Linked DNA regions of Notamacropus eugenii. The protein of the gene in region 1 interacts with the protein of each later gene in a pairwise test. Links are inferred from orthologs where the notes say so. Each region holds a gene or a part of one and is shown on either strand. Other genes may lie near its edges. The genes, in order: ZMYM2 and FOXP1.

The links.
Region 2: the proteins of ZMYM2 (region 1) and FOXP1 come close enough for resonance energy transfer, tested with the Homo sapiens proteins (2 studies listed by BioGRID). The link is inferred for Notamacropus eugenii from reciprocal best matches to the Homo sapiens genes ZMYM2 and FOXP1.

Annotation. Positions count from the first base shown.
Region 1 is NC_092876.1:186,827,263-186,836,431, reverse strand, and holds the start of ZMYM2 (zinc finger MYM-type protein 2), read right to left. Parts: upstream 5,872-9,169; 5' UTR 5,764-5,871; intron 4,732-5,763; 5' UTR 4,664-4,731; intron 1,860-4,663; exon of another isoform or gene 1,743-1,859; intron 1-1,742. UniProt on the Homo sapiens protein: Involved in the negative regulation of transcription.
Region 2 is NC_092874.1:451,885,842-451,895,010, forward strand, and holds the start of FOXP1 (forkhead box protein P1), read left to right. Parts: upstream 1-4,764; 5' UTR 4,765-4,955; intron 4,956-7,568; coding exon of another isoform or gene 7,569-7,780; exon of another isoform or gene 7,781-7,834; intron 7,835-9,169. Other genes in the region: uncharacterized protein, read right to left, coding at 4,419-4,764, 7,569-7,780. UniProt on the Homo sapiens protein: Transcriptional repressor. Can act with CTBP1 to synergistically repress transcription but CTPBP1 is not essential. Plays an important role in the specification and differentiation of lung epithelium.

The DNA.
Region 1 (9,169 bases):
ATTCCTGATGGAGTCTAACAAAGAATACAAACTGATTATTTCCCTTTACTTCCACTATTAGAGCCTAAGAAGTGACCGGCAGATTTGGGCTCAATTTTAGACCTTCCTAACAGATAAAGTTATCTGAAAACATTGTAGGTAGTCTTTAAGGAAGAGTTCCTTAGTATTAAATATGTTCAAGCTAGAAACAAAGCAACCACTTATGAATGTTGAAGGGCATTCATACATTAGCTAATGTGTGGTCAGACTAGATTAACTGTTTCTTCCATGTAGAGAGTCTGATATACTTTTAAGAGAAAACTGTTCTACTAAAGCACTCTTCCCAGGCATCTCACAAATGCATATATTGTGTCATTAGTCAAAGAACAGAAATAAGACAGAATATAAAACTTATAGAATACATTTAAAGGAAGATCACCTAGTGGACCAAGATACAGGGGCCCTGGCAGGCCACAGTCAACATGTGGACACAAAATGAGAAGAATTTCCTCAGACACGCATATAAATCAGTCCCACTTTGTAGTTCCTCCGACTTTTCTCTTGTAAGTTACCTGGCCCACACAAAAGAAAAAAATCTGTCCTTAGATCAGTAGCTCCATGATCTCTAATCAAAATACCTGGTACCTGACCCAGATACTTAAAATATTTTTCCTAACCAACCAAATATGATTAGAGAATATTTAAATAACCACTGGGACTAGTGGATATGCCAATATCTCTTCCACCTGCTAAAAAGAGAAAAACTAAATTAACTCAACCTACCTTATCTAGTAAGATTATACTATTAGCATCCATCAGTCACTACTGCAGAACTTGCTTAAAATATTCATTTTACAATTTCATATTTTTATGGAACACAAAAAACTTCAAGCACAAAATTTTTTCAATTAGCACAAGTTTAAATTTCACAGACAAACTTATACCTAGAGTCAATTAAGAAAACAAGGACAGAATGTAGATCCCCTAAAAAAGGGTTCTTAATCTGTGGGTCATTAACTTTTTAAAAAATATTTGGATAACTACATTTTAATAGTTTCTTTTGTAGCCCTACGTATTTTATTTTATGCACTTAAAACACTATTATGAGTAATCTATAGCCTTTGCTAGTCCGGCAAAGTCAATGACACAAAAATGGTTAAGAACCTTTGCTCTGAAGAAAGTCATTCCAGTCAATATCTGAAATGGAATGAACTAAATTTGGCAAACCTTCACAGATCTTGGGGGGATACCTCAGTAATGATATAAATATAAGATGGTATGCTGACATGTAACAGATTACCTGAACAGCTTAAATAATTTAAAATTACTTTCAGAAATATTTTAACAAACACTCACATACGCAACCTTCAGCCCAATCCACAAAAACAGATCCCCAACAATCTCAATCTTTCATTTTCATTAGTAATAAACCCAGTCTTAGGAAAAAAAAAAAACATCAAGCCATTCACATGTCTTAAGAATTTGCTTCTTACTACATTCCATTTTAGTACAGATTCTTTTTGTACCTTTCATTAACTAAAATTTAAATTCAAATCTCTTTGTTCTTTGTAAGCTTTACTTTGAATTTTCACTGAACAGTCATTTCATGGGGACAAGAGGTCCTGTTTTGTTTTGTTTTTAATTAAGACATTTACATTATATGGGAAAACATAATATAGTAAAATAAGTGTGGACTGACCATCAGGATATCGAGGTTAATCTCAACTCTGCCACTAAATGTCCATGAGTACTATTTCACTGACCTGAGCCCGTTTCCTTCTCTGCAAACAGAGGGAGTTACCCTAAGTCTCAAATGTCTCTTGAAGCTCTAAACTCCTAGGAGTCCATGACCACAAAGGACTATAAGAAAACACATCAACCTGAATAAGAGAACGTAAAAATTAAAGACAATAATTATATAGAAGTAATTCTAGTCTAAACTGAAATGCTTTACATTAGAACATTAGTTTAAATTATCTGACTTTCTGATATAGGCCAACATTTTATAAGTGACTAATAGTAAAATGTCTCATTGTGATTCTACAAAAGAAAGAATCTCTGCCTGAAGGGACTGACTAGAAGGGGCCCTAAGAAAAATAAACACCAAAACCAAATTTGAATAAAGTACCTAATGGCAAGTGCCAAAAAGCTAAAGGATCAAATGAGATATAAATGACTTTCAGGTAGGGTCCATCAAAGAAAATTACTTTAAAGATGGAGAGGCAGGGCAATCCAAGGCAAAGAAAGCTAGATCAGAAGTGCCCAGAAGTCCAAGTTAAATCGTTTGCTGCTTCCTCACTGTGCTCAAACTAACTTCATGTTATTTACAGGTATACCCACCCCTCTGTATAAATTCAACTCTCACTAAAGAATACAAAAAAAGGGAAACCACTTATTAGAAGTTATTTCAATTTCATAAGAAAGTCAATTAGTTACTTTGTTGATTACTCAAGGCAATTAACCTGAAATTTTAAAGTGGTTGAAAAAAGAATTTCATATTGCCTTAACTAAAGTAATAAAGGTAATGTACTACAAAAAAATTATTTCATTTCATCTGTCATATAACAGAGTTAAAGTCGTAGTGATTATGTTGTTTTCCAAATAAACACACAAAATGCAAGTTATAACCCATCAGTGGTCAAGTGAGCCCACAGGTCTTAACAAGCAAGTATTGGCAGGACAGCCTGAGGGGCATTGTTGGGAAGTCCAGCATGCATCAGTAGGAATGTAATGACTTGTTTACAATATGATACTATATTGCATCATCAAAATTTCAATGCAATGAAAAACCCACCAATTTACAATAAATTATTAAATTAAAGATGCATCATTTAAAAAAAATTTTTTAAATAACACACATTTCAAAAAAAATTGTTAAAAGGTTAAAGAAAGTAAATTTTCAGGGGGGCTGAGAAATTTTTTTTGAGGGAGGCCAGTAGGCCAAATAAGTTTGGGAACCTCTGAGCTTGGTGGTATAGTGGAAGACAGACTGGAGAGTCAGGCAGACATGGTTTTAAATCTCACTTCGGAAAATAGCTATTTGTCCCTGGGCAAGTCACAGCCTCTGAAGCTTAGTTTCCTCATCTGTAAAACAGGAGTATCAACAGCACCTATCTCACAGGGTTCTTATCAAGAACAAATGAAACACCTATACAAAGCACTATGAAAATCTTAAATGTCAGTTACTATAATTAATATTTTTATATATCTATGCCATCACCCTCATTAATAGGATAAAGCTGATCATAGCAAAGGCACACAAAAATAAATTTTCATCCCTCTTTCAAGGATCTACTAGATAGCTCTTCATTTGTGTTCAGTATCACAGTTAATATCCATCTGTCCTTCCGGTTTTTAAACAACTATAAGATTAAAAACACATGGGGAAAATATCTGAACACTAACCACCTTGAAGTATTTATGATTCAATGTTACCGAACACTAACCAGCTTGAAGTAGTTATGATTCAATGTTACATCAAAAAAAGGTGCTGAAAAAGAACAAGGTATCCAGCATAATTCAGGATCTTTATTTTTTACATTAACAGGTCCATCTATTGAAAAGAGTTGTTTATTATTAAATCTAATATTTTTAAAGATATTTATATTCCTTTTAAAAGAAAGGGCAAGAAAATCAAATTAATCATTAGCCTTACCTTCTTTAGAAATTGCTAGATGAGTTTGGAAGCTTTATTTCACACGTGTAATTTTATTCCATTTTAAATGCATTTATACATCCTTCCATTCTCAGAAATACTACACTTTAACATACGAAATTCAGTGGCTTTGGATTGGATGTGATTAACTTTTCTTGAGTATTTGGTGTTTACTGCATATTTATGCAATAACCTGCAAAACTGAAGCAGCGCCCCTAGCGAGAGTCCTATAAATCCCGATTAAACAAAATTCCATGGTTTCCCAAAATACATTGTTGAGAGGTATGGCGTTCACTTTTGTCACTTTATTACTTTATACTCTGGAAATCTTAGCTTTAAGGAAAAGAAAGTTTCAAACACAACGACAAATTACAACCATTAAAGTCTAATTCTCATTTAATAATCAATACAGAAAAATATATCTAACATCAAATCCAGAGACTTTGGAAATCAAGGCAAATAAGGATCTTAAGTCTGTTCAGCATTGCCACACACTAGGATGAAACCACGGCAGCTCTCGGCACCCGAACTCAAAGCTTTAGGAAGCGTCTCATCACCCACGCGACGACGGGACCTCCGTTTTTAAACAAACAGAACACCAAATAACAGATTCGTTTTCCTTCGTCCAGCGTCTCCTGTGCCTTCTCGGCCAGAAGCGGGTGGCAGAGATGCCTAGGGCATCTCCCCAGCTCATCTTGAGTCGGCTCCGGTTCCCACCCGCAGACTCTAGGGGGCACCAGCCAAGTGCCCTCCCCCCGGTAACGTGAGCAGCTGCAGCCCGTCGTCGGGGGGCTCGGGCCGCTCTCGCAGCCGCAGGAGCCGCGTCGGTGGCGGCCGGGCCACAGAGCCCACCCCCGCCGCCTTCCCAGCCAGTCCCGGGTCTTCGCCCCAGGGGCAGCTACCACCCGAGCAATGGCTCCTCCTTCTCAAGACAACAGAGGCCGGCGGCGAATCCCGGAGGTTTAACACCCCCCCCTCACCCCGGGGCTAGGCCCGCAAAAGGAGACAAATAACGAGAAAAGGACTCACAATGGGGGACTCTCCTCCGTAGTTTCGGCCAAAGCTGGGCCAGATGGGGCTGGAAAGGATTTCTGGTCCTACGAAAACAGAGAAGAGATTTGAACGAGAATCAAGTGGCCCCAATAAGGCCGCGTCCCCCCGCCCTGGGGGTGGGGGTGGTGGAGGTCGGGCCTCATTTCCTCCCCTCCGAGCCCCGAGGGCCACCCCCCACCCCCCCGCCCCGGCGCCCGGGCCAGGTCTAGAGAGGCGACATGGGCCAGCACGCATCCGCGCCCTCTGCTCTGGGAGGGGGAAGCCAGAGCCTCGACGCCAGGAGGGAGAGGACGTTCCTTCCGAAGGGGGCCCTGCCGGCCTCCTCTTCCACGAATCCAGACGTCCGCACCGCACTCCCGGACACTCACGTCACCGCCGGCCCGCGATCTCCCCATCTGCCCCCAGCAGTTGCCCCGGGCCCGGGGTTGGCCCCCCCTGCAGTCGGCGGCCGGCAGCGCTGCCTCCCCGTCCGCCATTAGAGACCCAGGCAAACAATACGGGAGACGCAGGAGCGTCGCAGGGCAGCGCCTGGGACGGCGGGGGGCCGACGACCGGGTTCTCCGTGGGGAAAGGGGGCAGCCCCCCAACAACTCCGGAGAAATAGCGGCGGCAATAGCCCGCCCGAGGCGGGGGGAACCCGGGTCCCCACCGCCGCCGCCCCCCTCCAGCTCCCTCAGCGTCACCTCCCCCCTCAGAAACCGAGACGGAAAGGAAAAATACCCCGGCCTCCGAACGCCCCGACTGCCAAACCCGCGGGGCTGCCCCCTCCGCGGCCTCGTCTCCCCGCCGGCGCCCGGCCCTGCCCCTCGCTCAGCCCCGGGGCCCGGCGGACCGGGCCGTGCTGCGCCGCAATGGGCCTCGGACCCGAGAGGAGGGAGAGACCCCGGGGCAGCCCCCGAGGCCCTGCACGGCCGCAGCGCCGCACTACGGGGTAACAAGCCGGAGGAGGTGGGAGGCTCCTTCGGTGGCTCACCCGTCTCCGCCTCTCCAGTCGCCTCCTCCGGAGGCAGTGCTGCCCCCAGCCACCCCCACCATCAGCGGACCGAGCTGGGGAAAGAGTGGGGGATAATCCTCACCCGGTTCTGGCTGCGGCTCCACGGAACGAACCTCCCCTCCCCCGCCCCACCCCCCCCTTCGGTAACACGCACAACTCCACTCGGTCCAGTCCCGGGCTAAGCGCTGGCGAGGAGGAGGAGGAGGCGGCACAACCGAGCCCCACGAGGCTCCGCCTACCCGGACGAGGACTGGCTGCCGGGAGGCACGGGCGGGGGTGTTTAGAACGCGTCAATTGGCCAGCAGGATAATCTTTCACCGTCCCGCCTTCGCAGGGTGGTCTAAAAGGTCGTCCGTCAAACTTTGGCCACGCCCAGAGTCCCCCCTTCCACTCCTCCCCCTCTCCCCCAAACCCCCTCCCCCATCCTCATTCCCTCCCCACCCCAACCCCCCGCTGGATCTTTCTGGTTATGGCAAATGTGAATTTGGTTGCCCACTACCACCAGCCCAGGGTTGCTACTTAGGGGCACAGGCGGGTGAAAACAGAAGCTGTGGCAAATGGGAATGGGACTAAGGGGCCCTTCTGTCTTCACCCAGGCCTGGGCACTCAATCTTGTGCAGCAACTGCAGCAGCTAAAGAACTCTCCCTACAGGAATAAGTGGGGAAAGACACCAACAGCCCAGATGCCCCCAAATCCTTTTCCCCACCCCGACTCCAATCTCCCTTACGCCCCCGGAGATGGGGCAAGAAGTGGACAGGAGCTGCCATTGGAATGCCAGGCTAAAGGGAAGGGATGGGGTAAAACTCTTCAAGCCTCTTGAGGGAAGGGGAGCTTCACTCTTTCTAACCCTCTCCCCCCCCATGGGGAATACCCCCCTTTCCCTCCCCTCCTTGTCATGGCTGCAGGAGGAGGAGACGGCGTCCTCCATTTTGTCGGAAGCTGCTGTGGGAACTTGGGACCAATTCAAAACCAAACCCAGTGGGGCTAAAGCCACTTCCCCCTCTAAGCCCCAGCCTGGAGCGGTCGTTTGACCGTGGGGGCATTCCCTGCCTCGAGCATGTGGAGGTGAGGGGCTAGAGGAAGCCAGAGGGCTTGGAGAGGGAGGTGAGAGATCAAGGCGCTCCTCCCCGCCTCCATCAACCAAAATGGAGGAAGCTGCGGACTCCCCTGAAGCCTGGACTCCCGCTTGTTGGAGGGGCTGGAGCTTTCCCCTTGGTCTGTCACAAGACGGTGCAGCTCCCTCCGCCCCGGCAGCCTCCTCGCCTCCTCCTGCTCCCCCGTTCTCAGGCGGCCGTCTCAACAGCCTTCCACCACCTCTGGTCGTCCAAGGTTGGCTGGAGCTCCAGACTCTAGGCTCCTCCATGACCGGGGGGCGGGGCGGCCCCCAGGCCCCCCGGGCACGACCCGAGCTCGGGGACCCTCCCTGCCCCTCCCTGCCCGCCCCCGGGCATCGGGCAGCCCGAGGCCCCACGAGTTCCTCTCCCGGTATCCGTCTGATGCCGGCGGAATGGTGGGGCTCCACTGCCGAGGCTCCAGCGTGCCCTGCGGGGAGAAGCGCCGCGAGGGCGCTGCAGCCGGGCCCCAGCAGGAGCCTGGGGGCTAGAAATGACGGCCGGGCGGGCGAGGAGAGGCTGGGGAGGCCGCTCGCCCGCCTGCAAGCTCAGCATTGTCTGTCTAACCGCGGGTGCCGGAGCGCCCCGGCGACTGAACGCCCCGACTCGAGGCCGGGCGAGCACGAAGTTTTTAATGAAGTTAATCATCCATGAAGGGCGCTGCAAGACTGGTGCACGAGCCTTCCTAACAGATTCAATTTAGAGAGGATAATTTGGTAGAAACGGAAGATTTCTCGAATCAAATTATGCTGGGCTGGTTGGTCATGTTGGGGGCGGTGGGGGGACTGAGCAAGTCCTTCTACCTGGGATTTAAGGTGCTGGATTTGAACTCCTCCCCCCCTTTTTTTTAATGCAATAAGCATCATTTGTGTGACCCTGAGCAACTCTCTTCTCTCAGCCTCCATTTCCTCACCTGCAAAAGGGGTCTGATAATTGCACTCACTTTAAAGGGCTCAAATGAGCTAACATTTTGTAAAAAGAACTTTGCCAACTCTAAGCCTATATGACTGTTAGGTAATATTATTAGCGGCTACGAGAGCCTTCATGACCTAGCCCCCTCCTACCTTTCCACTCTTCTTACACTTTACTTCCCCAAGGTACACTTCAATCCAGGGGCACTGGCCTCCTGGCTGATCACCAACTACTAGACTCTCCATCTCCTGGCTATGGGCATTATCTCTGGCTATTCCCAGAGTGTGGAGTGCTTTCCCTCCTCCGCTCTACTGACCTTCTTAGCTTTCTTCCAAGTCTCAACTAAAATGCCACTTCCCCAGCCACTCTTGATTCTGTGTCTTCTTTCTGTTTAATTATTTTCTATTTATTCTTGCTTTGTATATATTTGTTTGCCTGTTATTCCACTACCACTACCCATTGTTGGATTGTAAATTTCTTGAAGGCAAGGACTGCCCTTTCTTCTTTCTTCATCCCCAGCACTTAGCGCTGTGCCTGGCATATAATAAGTGCTTAATAAATGTTTACTAAATTTAATTGAACTATCAAAAAACTATTTTACTAATAGTTCATATCAATATTCTCAATAGGATTCTTTTTAAAGATTATTTTATTTCATAGTTGCATTCATGCATAAAATTCTTTCAATACAATGTTATTGAAACTAATATACTTGTTACATTTCTGTTCTGATAAACCTTGTGTCACCAGTCACCATTAAAGTTCCCTTCCCCACCCCCAACCACATTACTTAAAGTAAATATATAAATTAAGAAAAAGTTAAACCAGGATTATAATGAGTATAGAAAATGACACCATCCTTAGTTGGTAAGAGCCAGCAATTTGGTAATAGCCAGCAATCCACTGAATTTAGAGTGAGAGGGTCTGATAAGAAAACATTTGGAATTGAATTTCTCAAAGATCTGAATAGGTACCTTAGAGTCAACTACCATATGCTGCTGGGTTTTAAGCATGTAATTTAAAGCTGTCTTTTACTTCTCTCCCTCTCAGGCTTCCTTACCACAGTCAAAGACTGGAATAGTGAAAGGAAATAATATCCTATTTGACTTGAAAAGGATAAAGGACATAAGGTCCAGTTCTATTTGCCCGTGAATACCTTTTGTTATAATCCTGAAAGCAGACATGGCATCAGGAAACCTAGAAAAATGTACAAAAAAAAGAAGGTTTTCATATCATGTGGAATATCAGATTTAGTTATTTTAAATTTTATATGAGCCCATCACTGAAGAAGTACTTACAAGAGCATACCAAGTGCTGTACCTATGATATAGAAAACTCATAGAAACTTGAAGTTAGTAATGCTTATTATGCTTCTTCAAAATCTTTATTCCATATTTTCCCATTAAAATTAAAGTAAACCTGTGAATATCAACTATACATATATACATACATAGATATATACA
Region 2 (9,169 bases), on another chromosome or scaffold:
GATCAGGATGAAACCATCTCTTTGGTCCTCATTATATTTAATGTAATTCTACGTCTATCTTATCCATACCCTTATAACCTGTTTAGAAAACTGGAAAAGAATCCAAGAAGAACCGCTCAGGGAAGGCTGGGGGGTGTGGCACCACAGTGGTTTGGAAATATTCTGGGGTTTAAGACAGCAACACCTATAATTATGGAGGCGTCATCACCTCCATAAAAAAGAAAACAACAAAAAAAAAATAACGCTTTTACTAACCAGATGTAGTCATGGCATATGTACGCCCTTCCCCAAACCTGTCTGGCATTTGTTTCTGGCCTAGTGGGGAATATCTGCCATCTCTCTCTCTCCCAGTACTCATAAAACAATACAAAGGTAAACAATTGGAGTACAATTAGCAGTCTCATTGGAGTAGCAGGAGGGAGAAGTCACCCTGCGATTAATGTCAAAGGAATTAATCATGGTTTACAGAGATGATTTAGTGGCTTGAATCTGCAAGTAGTTTAAAAAACAAGAAACTAACTAAGTTTGACTAAGGCTAGTTTTTAAAGGTGTGGGGATTGTATCCTGACCAATCAAGTTAATTTTATGTTTTAAACACTACAAAATATGTTGCTCATTATACATGAAGGACTTCTGCAGGAGAATATGAGACATTCGAGTCAGACATAAACTTGATATTCTTTTTCTAATGTTTACCCTACTGGTAGCAGGTTACTCTAAGCCAGTCATACTTTAATCTCAGTTCTCTTAACACAAGCAGCATCCATTGTGATGGTAGGGAATTGAAGTATACAGCAGAAGCTTTCCCTGCTACTAACAACCCACAAAGTGACTGGGTCAAAACCTTGGCCAAATCATAGACTATGCATCATTAAATTCAAATTCAAAATGTTTATTTTTTTAACCTCTCCCCAAGAATATTCAAACATACATGCTACACACAAACACATGTACACACCCATCTTCCTATTCCAGGGGTGAAATGCAATCTTTTCAGGGGGAAAAGAATTTATACTTGTTTAGTTACATAATAAAAACATAGTGTGTTCTAACATATTTTAAAATTTCTTTATGGATGCATATAACCATGTTAGTAATGTTGCCATTATCTTGGTTGTTACTGTGGGCAAATGGGTGTGTGTGTGTGTGTGTGTGTGTGTGTGTGTGTGTGTAGTTTTATATTAATATAATGTTAGGAGCATCTGTTTTTTAAGTGAATATCTATTTAATTTTCTGCCAAAAGGTGGCGTTCTACTCCCATGCCCTTTCTTTTCAACCCTTCCTCTAATTTGCCAAAAAGAAACTTCCACTTGATTACTGATCAAGAAATCAAAATGTGCTCCATATGAATGCAACATGAGAGTGTTGAAAATGAACAATATGTTAAGCTGTAGTTAAGTTTCTTGCTAATATAAACCAAATGGATATGTAGTTCTTTAATAATGCAGCACTAGACGGTTTCATATACAAAATTGACTCTAGTGTATCACAGGAAACCATGAAGGTTCCCTCTTGTCTCTGAAACTTGTTGCAAACCTGATTTCAGTTCCAAATCTGAAGTGAATGTGTGTATGCATATATATTCATACATATATATATATATATATACATGTATATGTATATTATATATTTATATATAACCTAAATAATCTATTTTATAATCTGAGATACACACATACACATCTATATATAATCTAAAAATGTAGAAATAGATTTATGGCCTATTCAAGATCTTTTAAATCCTTGACAAACACAATAAAAAGTGACTTTATCTGAAAAATAAGATGAGGATCTGTGTTTGTTCTTATGAAATATTGCTAGATTAGTCAAGTTAAAATAAATGAACATTTTCCCCCAATTGTGTTGCTACAGGCCTTCATTTACCAGCTGCTTTCAGGATCTGGAAAAAACGTTTAAGAACAAAAGGGTATTCTCTTCTCCAATATGGCCTATGGATTTGTATTTCACAGTTTCTTCGCTTCCTGTATTTGGAATATCCACTGATGTCAAGGAGAGTTTCGTACAAGGAACATGTCCAGAACAGGTAATGAAGATATATACGTTAGATAAGAAAGCCTCTGAAACATCTGCCCTTAGCTAGTTTACCCACTGGGAGTCCTGTCACTATACTTTGGAAGGAGGCCATCCTTCTACCAGCTCTTGACATTGACTTAGCCATCCCAGGGAACTTTTTCTGTGGCTTGCCAGGAAGCCTGACAAAGCTTAAAGAGAAAGAGTGGTAGGTAACATATGAAATCAGGGGAGGAGTGTACATGGAGACCTAGCCTTCATCTTGAAGGGTGAAGAATGTCCAAAGGACCAAACCCACATCTTTACCTCTTTAGAATTACGCTGAATGATCTAATGATTGTGTGTCCGAGAATACTGTGTAACCTTATACAACATATATTGAGTATGAATTACATTGGCACAGGGTGGGTTTGCAGTCTTCATCTATTGAATTCTTTTGCTTTTTAATGTGTTGTATCCATTTAAAAACATAAAGATACCGCTTTAAAATGATACTCCTTACATCACCACTGAATTACTGCTTAAAATATCTCATCAGCAAGCATTATGTGTGACAATATTGCAAAGAGACAAATTATATGACCAAGGTAATTTGGAATTTTAATTCAAATACTATCCAACAGGCAACAGGTAGTACATGAGACTCTTCAGAGCAACATATAAAGTACGTAAAAATACAACTAAATAATTTTAGAAAACAAGGCAAGCAAACCTCAGAGAGAGAAATACTGTCACTTTTTAAAAAGCACTTCCCCCTACATTTCAATTTTGAAGATGTTTGTTATTCACACCATTATTAGCGTATTAGAGCTAAAGAAATAATGTTCTCCTGAGATTTCAAATGCTGAAATTACTTTGGAGGATGCAAACAACTGCTTTCAATGTTATGGTTTTACATCCCTATCCCCTCAGTGGCCTCATTTACCTCATATCCCACAAATGAAAATGTCTTTATCAAAAAGCTGGTCTGGAGTTTGGGCACAGAAGGTAATCTTTATTAATTTTCTATAAAAACTATCCCTTTTAACTACTGGTTATAGACTTAAAGCAGAGATTTTCTAATTTGTAACATGAAAATATAAGATCCATAATTCCTCCTTTTGTTTCAGGGATATATGTGTATGTGTGTGTGTATGCGTGTGTGTGCTGATATACATACACATTCCCCTGACCTTCCTCATTTTCATTTACCAATAAGTCGATGTACACATCTATAGATGCCTCTGTGTGTATATATGTGTGTATAGATGAATGTATGTGTGTATACATACATATGCATATATATATCCCTCTGCATAGTGCTTAATTCCAAGCAAGTCTGATGTCGTTTTATTCAGCATTCTACATTCTCCACATCATCCAGCCATCCAGACAAATTTCTCAAACCTAGTGAATCTTCATCATTACAAACAGATGTCACCTTGTCTGAACTGGACTATATGCAACAAAGCTTTCTGGGTATGACTGATCTCTGCAAGAGCAGGCAATTTGTGTTAAACTCCTAATTGGCATTCTAGCTCCTAGGAGTTTTCCTAAGAGGCACACTGAACAAAAACAAACAGCCTCTCACGAGCATAGATGTGGGCACTTTTTACAAACTGGCCAGAACTACAGAATTCCTCCAGTAACTCTTACGTGAGCCAGAAAAAGATAAGTCTGTCTCATCACATTTTCATCCTTTCTGACCCAAGGATGGAGACAGGGAAAGCCCTGGTTGGAGAGATTTCTGTTTCCTAGCAAACATGGAATTGTCCTTCTGCTGAACTTTCACCTCTCGAACTCGCCTCCTTTCATTGGACAAAGTGCAGAAAGAGAAGAGCCAGAGGAGGGAGGAAGGGGGTGGTGGTGAAGGAAAGAAAAAGCCTCTCCTTCAACTACCACGGGTTGGAAAGCACTTTCACTTTTAACAGCTCCTTGCTTCGGGTCCCTCCGAATCTTCTGTTTTTATTTTAGGGAGGTCAAAAATAAACAAACTATTTCTCATCCTCTCCGGCCCTCTCCCTGCCTAAGTAGCTCTCCCCCTCTCCTCTCCAGTCCCTAAACTGGTCCGATTTCTCTTTCTTCTAAGCAATCTCAGTCTCTCTTTCCCCCTCCTCTGGCAGGCTGTTTGTTTTCCAGGTCTTCCCTGACCCGCTCCCAGCATCCCTCCCCTGCGCCTGCCCCTCTCGCCCCTTCTCCCCGGTCCTAGGGGCTAGGCCCGCTGCCTCGAGGCTCTCCCCCTCCCCTCCTCTCTCCTTCCCCCTCTTCCCTCCGTTTTGCAATAGCGATATTTTGCACAGAGCCTTGTTTACCCAGCAGGTGGATGTGACGTCAGAGACTCACAACAGCAAAAAATAACAACATCTCCATCCGCGATTTGTTTTCCTCTCGGCTCGCTCCCCATTTATTTATTTATTTTGGGGGTGGGTGCAAATTCGAAAGTGGCCGGGAAGCCCTTCGAGCTGAGCCGGGGCAGGAACCGGGGCCGCGGGCCAGGGAGCGGGGTGCGTGCGTGTGTGTCCGTGTGTGTGCAGTGTGTGCGTGCGTGTGTGTGTGAGTGCATGTTTGCGGGTGGGGGAGGGGGGGGTGCAACCTGGCCTGGCGCTTCCCATCTCCTCCCCGCCGCCGCCGCCGCCGCCGCCGCCGCCGCCTCTGTTGGGGTTGCTTCTGCTGCTGCTGCCGCCAACACCGCTGCCGAGGGAGAGCTGGAGCCAGAGCCGGAGCCGGAGCCGGAGCCTCAGCCTCTCCTGGAAGCTAGTCCGGAGCGGAGGAATCTATTGTTATTTATCGTGTGGCTGTTGCATGCAGCAGCGACACAAGCCCTCGCCTATGAGTGTGTGCGTGTGTGCGCGCGGGTGTGCACGCGGGTGTGCGCGCGAGGGCGAGCGTACGTGTGTAAAGGACAGAAAACACCTTAGTTTGCACCGAGAGACCGTTTGCAGCGGGTGAGTTTGTATTTTTCCATTTCTGCTCCACTTTTCCAGCCGTCTCCTGCTTGTTTTCTCCACTTAAAACAACAACAACAACAACCCCCCCCCCCAAAGAACCAAAACAGCAAAAAAAAAAAAAGAGAGCAACCCCCCAACTACTTTTTTTTCCACGATCAGCCTCCACGTGTGTCTCCCTCTCTCTTCTGCCTCCCTCCTTTCCCTCAGTCTCTGTCTCTTAGGGGGTTGGGGGGGGGCGCTGGCTGGGGGGTAGGGGGGGTCCTCTGTTTGTGATGCTCTTGCATCTGTCGGTATATTTGCATAAGTGTGATCCAAAGCTTCTCAGTGGCGGGCCGGGCGCGGCGAGGCAAGGAGAGGAGAGGCGAGGCTAGGCGAGGTTCCCGGCTTGGAGGCTCCCGGGGCTCGCTCTCCCGTTCCCCCCAGCCTCGCACCTCCTGGCCCTCCAGCCTCCTCTCCAGCCCCGGTTTCTCCCCCTCCCTCACGTCTCGGGCTCTGGCCGGTGGACACAGTAGCTTCGGTGAAATAAACAAATAAAAGCGTAGTGTAACTTTAGATTCCCGGAGTTGGAGTCGATACTGTTGCCAGTTGAATGGAAAGTGGTTGTGGGCGCTGAGCTGAGCGGAGAGGGAGGGAAACGGGAGGGAGGAAGGGAGGAGCAAAGGTCTGTAGGGACTGAGGGGGCTGCTCCAGACCCGGAGAGGATCGGCCGGGCCTCGGGCCTCCTGGGGGAGTTGGGGGGGAGGGAAGAGAATGTCTGTGTGGGGCGGACTAGCTCTGCTGACAGTGACCCGGAGGGGAGGTGGGGACGCGACCACTCAAGCACCTTCACTTAAGACTTTAAGAAACTTTTTTTTTCCTTCCTGGGTCTGCCCCTTCTTAGTCCCACCTACCTCGTGGGCTCCAGCAGACAGGCCCCGGGTACCCCACGAGGGGCACCCACTGGGAGCCTCGTGCACTTTCACACTCACACGCCTTTCAGCGAAAACATTCACCTCACACTCCCAAGTGTGCGCACTGTTCCCAGCTACTTCTATACCGAATTCAGAGACACAACCACACTGACACACATACAAGCACACAGAGAAGCACACTCAAACAGCTGAGAAGACTGGCTAGTCTCAACCCTTTCTCGCAAGACTTTGCAATGACCCTATGAACTAGAGTCTTCTACAATCCTGGCCGTGATTTTGTGTGTGTGTGTGTGTCTGTGTGGTGTGGTGTGTGTGTGTGTGTGTGTGTGTGTGTGTGTGTGTGTGCTTTCTCAATCTGGGGAATTTCTCAAGTTCTGATTGCTCCCCTCTATCAGATTCACACGCGTCGCGACTTATCTCGGGTGATTATTTCGGACTGTACAGACAGAGGGGATCTCACCTTCTTTTCTCTCCCTCTGTGTCCGTCTGTCGGTCCGTTCGTTCGCCCCTCCCTGACTGCCCTCGCCTCTCTCTTTCACTCTGTCTCTAGGTCTGTCTGTCCCCCCACGTCAGTCGATCCCTTTGGGCCGACCCTTGTCTAGCAGCACCCGCAGCAGGCGGGCGCTCACGGTGTTGCCCTGCCTGCTTGCCTGCCTCTCTTCTCGGCTGGCCTGCCCGGCCGCCCCGCTGCCAGCCTGCCTGCCTGCCCGCCCGCCCGACTCTCTCCCGGCTGGCCTGCCCGGCCGCCCCGCTGCCAGCCTGACTGCTTGCCTGCCGGCCGGCGGGCCTCGACTGCTGAAGTTGCTGCTGCTGCCGCCGCCGCCGCCGCCGCTGCGGCTGCCCAGGCGGCCCGGGGTCATTAGTCTGCCTAAACTCCCAGACGCGGAGCCTGCCTCCCCCCTCCTCTTCCTCCTCCTCCTCCTCCTCCAACACCACCATATCCCCCCCTTCCTTTCTCCCCCCGCAGACTTCCCCCAGTCCCTACACACTCGCGCGCGCGCGCACACACGGACACATACTCTCAACACGGACACACCGCCAACAAACAGCGGAAACTTTGATATATAGACATATATATTTGGGGGCATTTATCGAGCCTCGCAGACCCCCCTGCCCACCTGTTGTGGTCTCCGCCTCCATCGCCTACCCCGAGGCTGTCGGGGAGCAGGGACTCGGGCTGCTTAGAGAAGCCAAATCACAGTCTCCCCCTAGTCTCCCCCCCCCCCCCACACCCGGTTTGCTGTCTAAACCCTCCTCCCCTCATCCGCCACCCTCCCCATTCACTCACACCCGCCCCCCCCTCCCCTGTCCCCCTTAAGAGATTCAGGACTAAATAAACGGTGGAAACTTCAGACCTTGAGCCTGGGACTGCTTCTTCCACCCCTCCCCCTTATTTTTTCTATTCCTCCCCCCTTTTTGTTGTTGTTGTGGTCGCAACTTTGTGAGAGCAGGGCCGAGGGGAGGAAGACTTTTCAGAGAGTCCCTGCCTGTGTCTGTTTCCAGATCCCGATTTCTCATACCAGGGAGTTCTGAGGCGTCTGTCTCCCACTCTTTCTGGGGTTCACTCCTACACACACACACACACACACACACACACACACACACACACACACGCACACAATCACAATCACACAATCGCGGACATTCTCCCATTATTTCTCCCCTTACTTCCCCATCCCCCCCGCCCCCATCCCCAAACCTGTATTCTGGAGACTTGTTGCAAGCAGCCCTGGTCTCTGGCCGACCATTGAGCCGAAAGTTTGTCTGCAGGAGGAAACGAACGGGCGAGCGCCCGAGGCAGCCCCGGCAGCAGCAGCAGCAGCCGCAGCCGCTACCACCACCGCCGCCGCCGAAGCAGTCCCAGCAGCAGCAGCAGATGGTGCTAGGGAGGAGATGGTCGTGCGGGTTCTGCTAGCCTCAGAGTGGGCACGCTAAGAGCTCGGCTGACCTGTCTCTCTGTTCCGGGTAAGTGGAGGACACTCGGCAGAAACTGAGGCGTCTCGGATCGCAGGTCTGTGGGACCCTAGGAGAAGGAGGAGGGGGAGGATTGTGTGTGTGTGTGTGTGTGTGTGTGTGTGTGTGTGTGTGTGTGTGTGTGCGTGCAGTTGGAAAAGCTGAGAGCAAGGTTGAGGAAGAACGAGTGCTTTCTTGCCAAAGCCCCAGACTTTACAACTCTGGTTTCATTTAGGGATAAGGAAAAGGGAAACAGCAAAGGGCGCATCCTTCAGAGGATAGGTGTTTTTTTAAAAAATGGAATTTTCCCCTTTTTTAAAAGCAGCAGATCCGAGATCAAAGTTTAGCCCTATCGTATACGTGCTGCTATAAAATATGGTGACATTCCTGTCCCCTCTTCTCACCCCCTCACTCTCCTTCTAACTATTAATTATTTCCAAGTCATTGTGTTCAAATCCCATTGCTGGGCTGATTACAAAGTATATTGATTTAGTCTGTGCCCATCTTACTAAATTTGTTTTTTTCTTTTGCTCAACCAGAAAGGTTGAAATGAAACTACTCCCCCCCCCCCCAAAAAACCCCTTCACTAGGCTGAAGGATGAAATTAATGTAACTATTGCATTGATTATTTCTGTGCTTCTGAAATCTACTTTGAAGAATTAGAGGTGAGCTGATATTCCCTCCCAGGGATCTTGTTAGGATTTAATTTCTTGCAGTTGCCATTGAAATAAGTCTCCATATCTCAAAACCCCACACAGTACATACTGTATGCATTCTAGAGGGATCTGAAACATGCAGACCATATACACTTTACATTTAGCGATTCCTGTCCTTGATAATTGATACTGAAGAAGGAAGCTGAATAAGTAAAGCAATGACATTTAGGACGTTGTGATTCTGGGAGGAGAGGTAACCTCCTACCCATAGTAACGGCCTTCGGGAAATTTTTTTTTCCATTGTGCTGGCCAGTTTTTGTTGAACCTTATCACCAGTGTTTAAAAAGGAGATGGAAATACTTCAGATGTTCAGTGCCGTGTGGTAGGATATGTAATTGAGAAAGAAGAGCACTCGCTGTTTTCATTGTTATTGAGAGAAATGCTATATGACTTTTTCTTTTTCCCTCCCCTGGACTTGTAAGTCTCGGAGTAGACATAATTTTTTTTTTTTAAGATCAGGAAAAGTAGAATAGATTCCTAGTCACACACACACACACACACACACACACATACACACACAGAAATAGAATTTATATCCTCCCTCCCCCCATTCCCAGTTCCTTTATTTAAACTATCTCATAATTACACAGCATTAAATACACACACACACACAACCCCACTCAACTAGTTA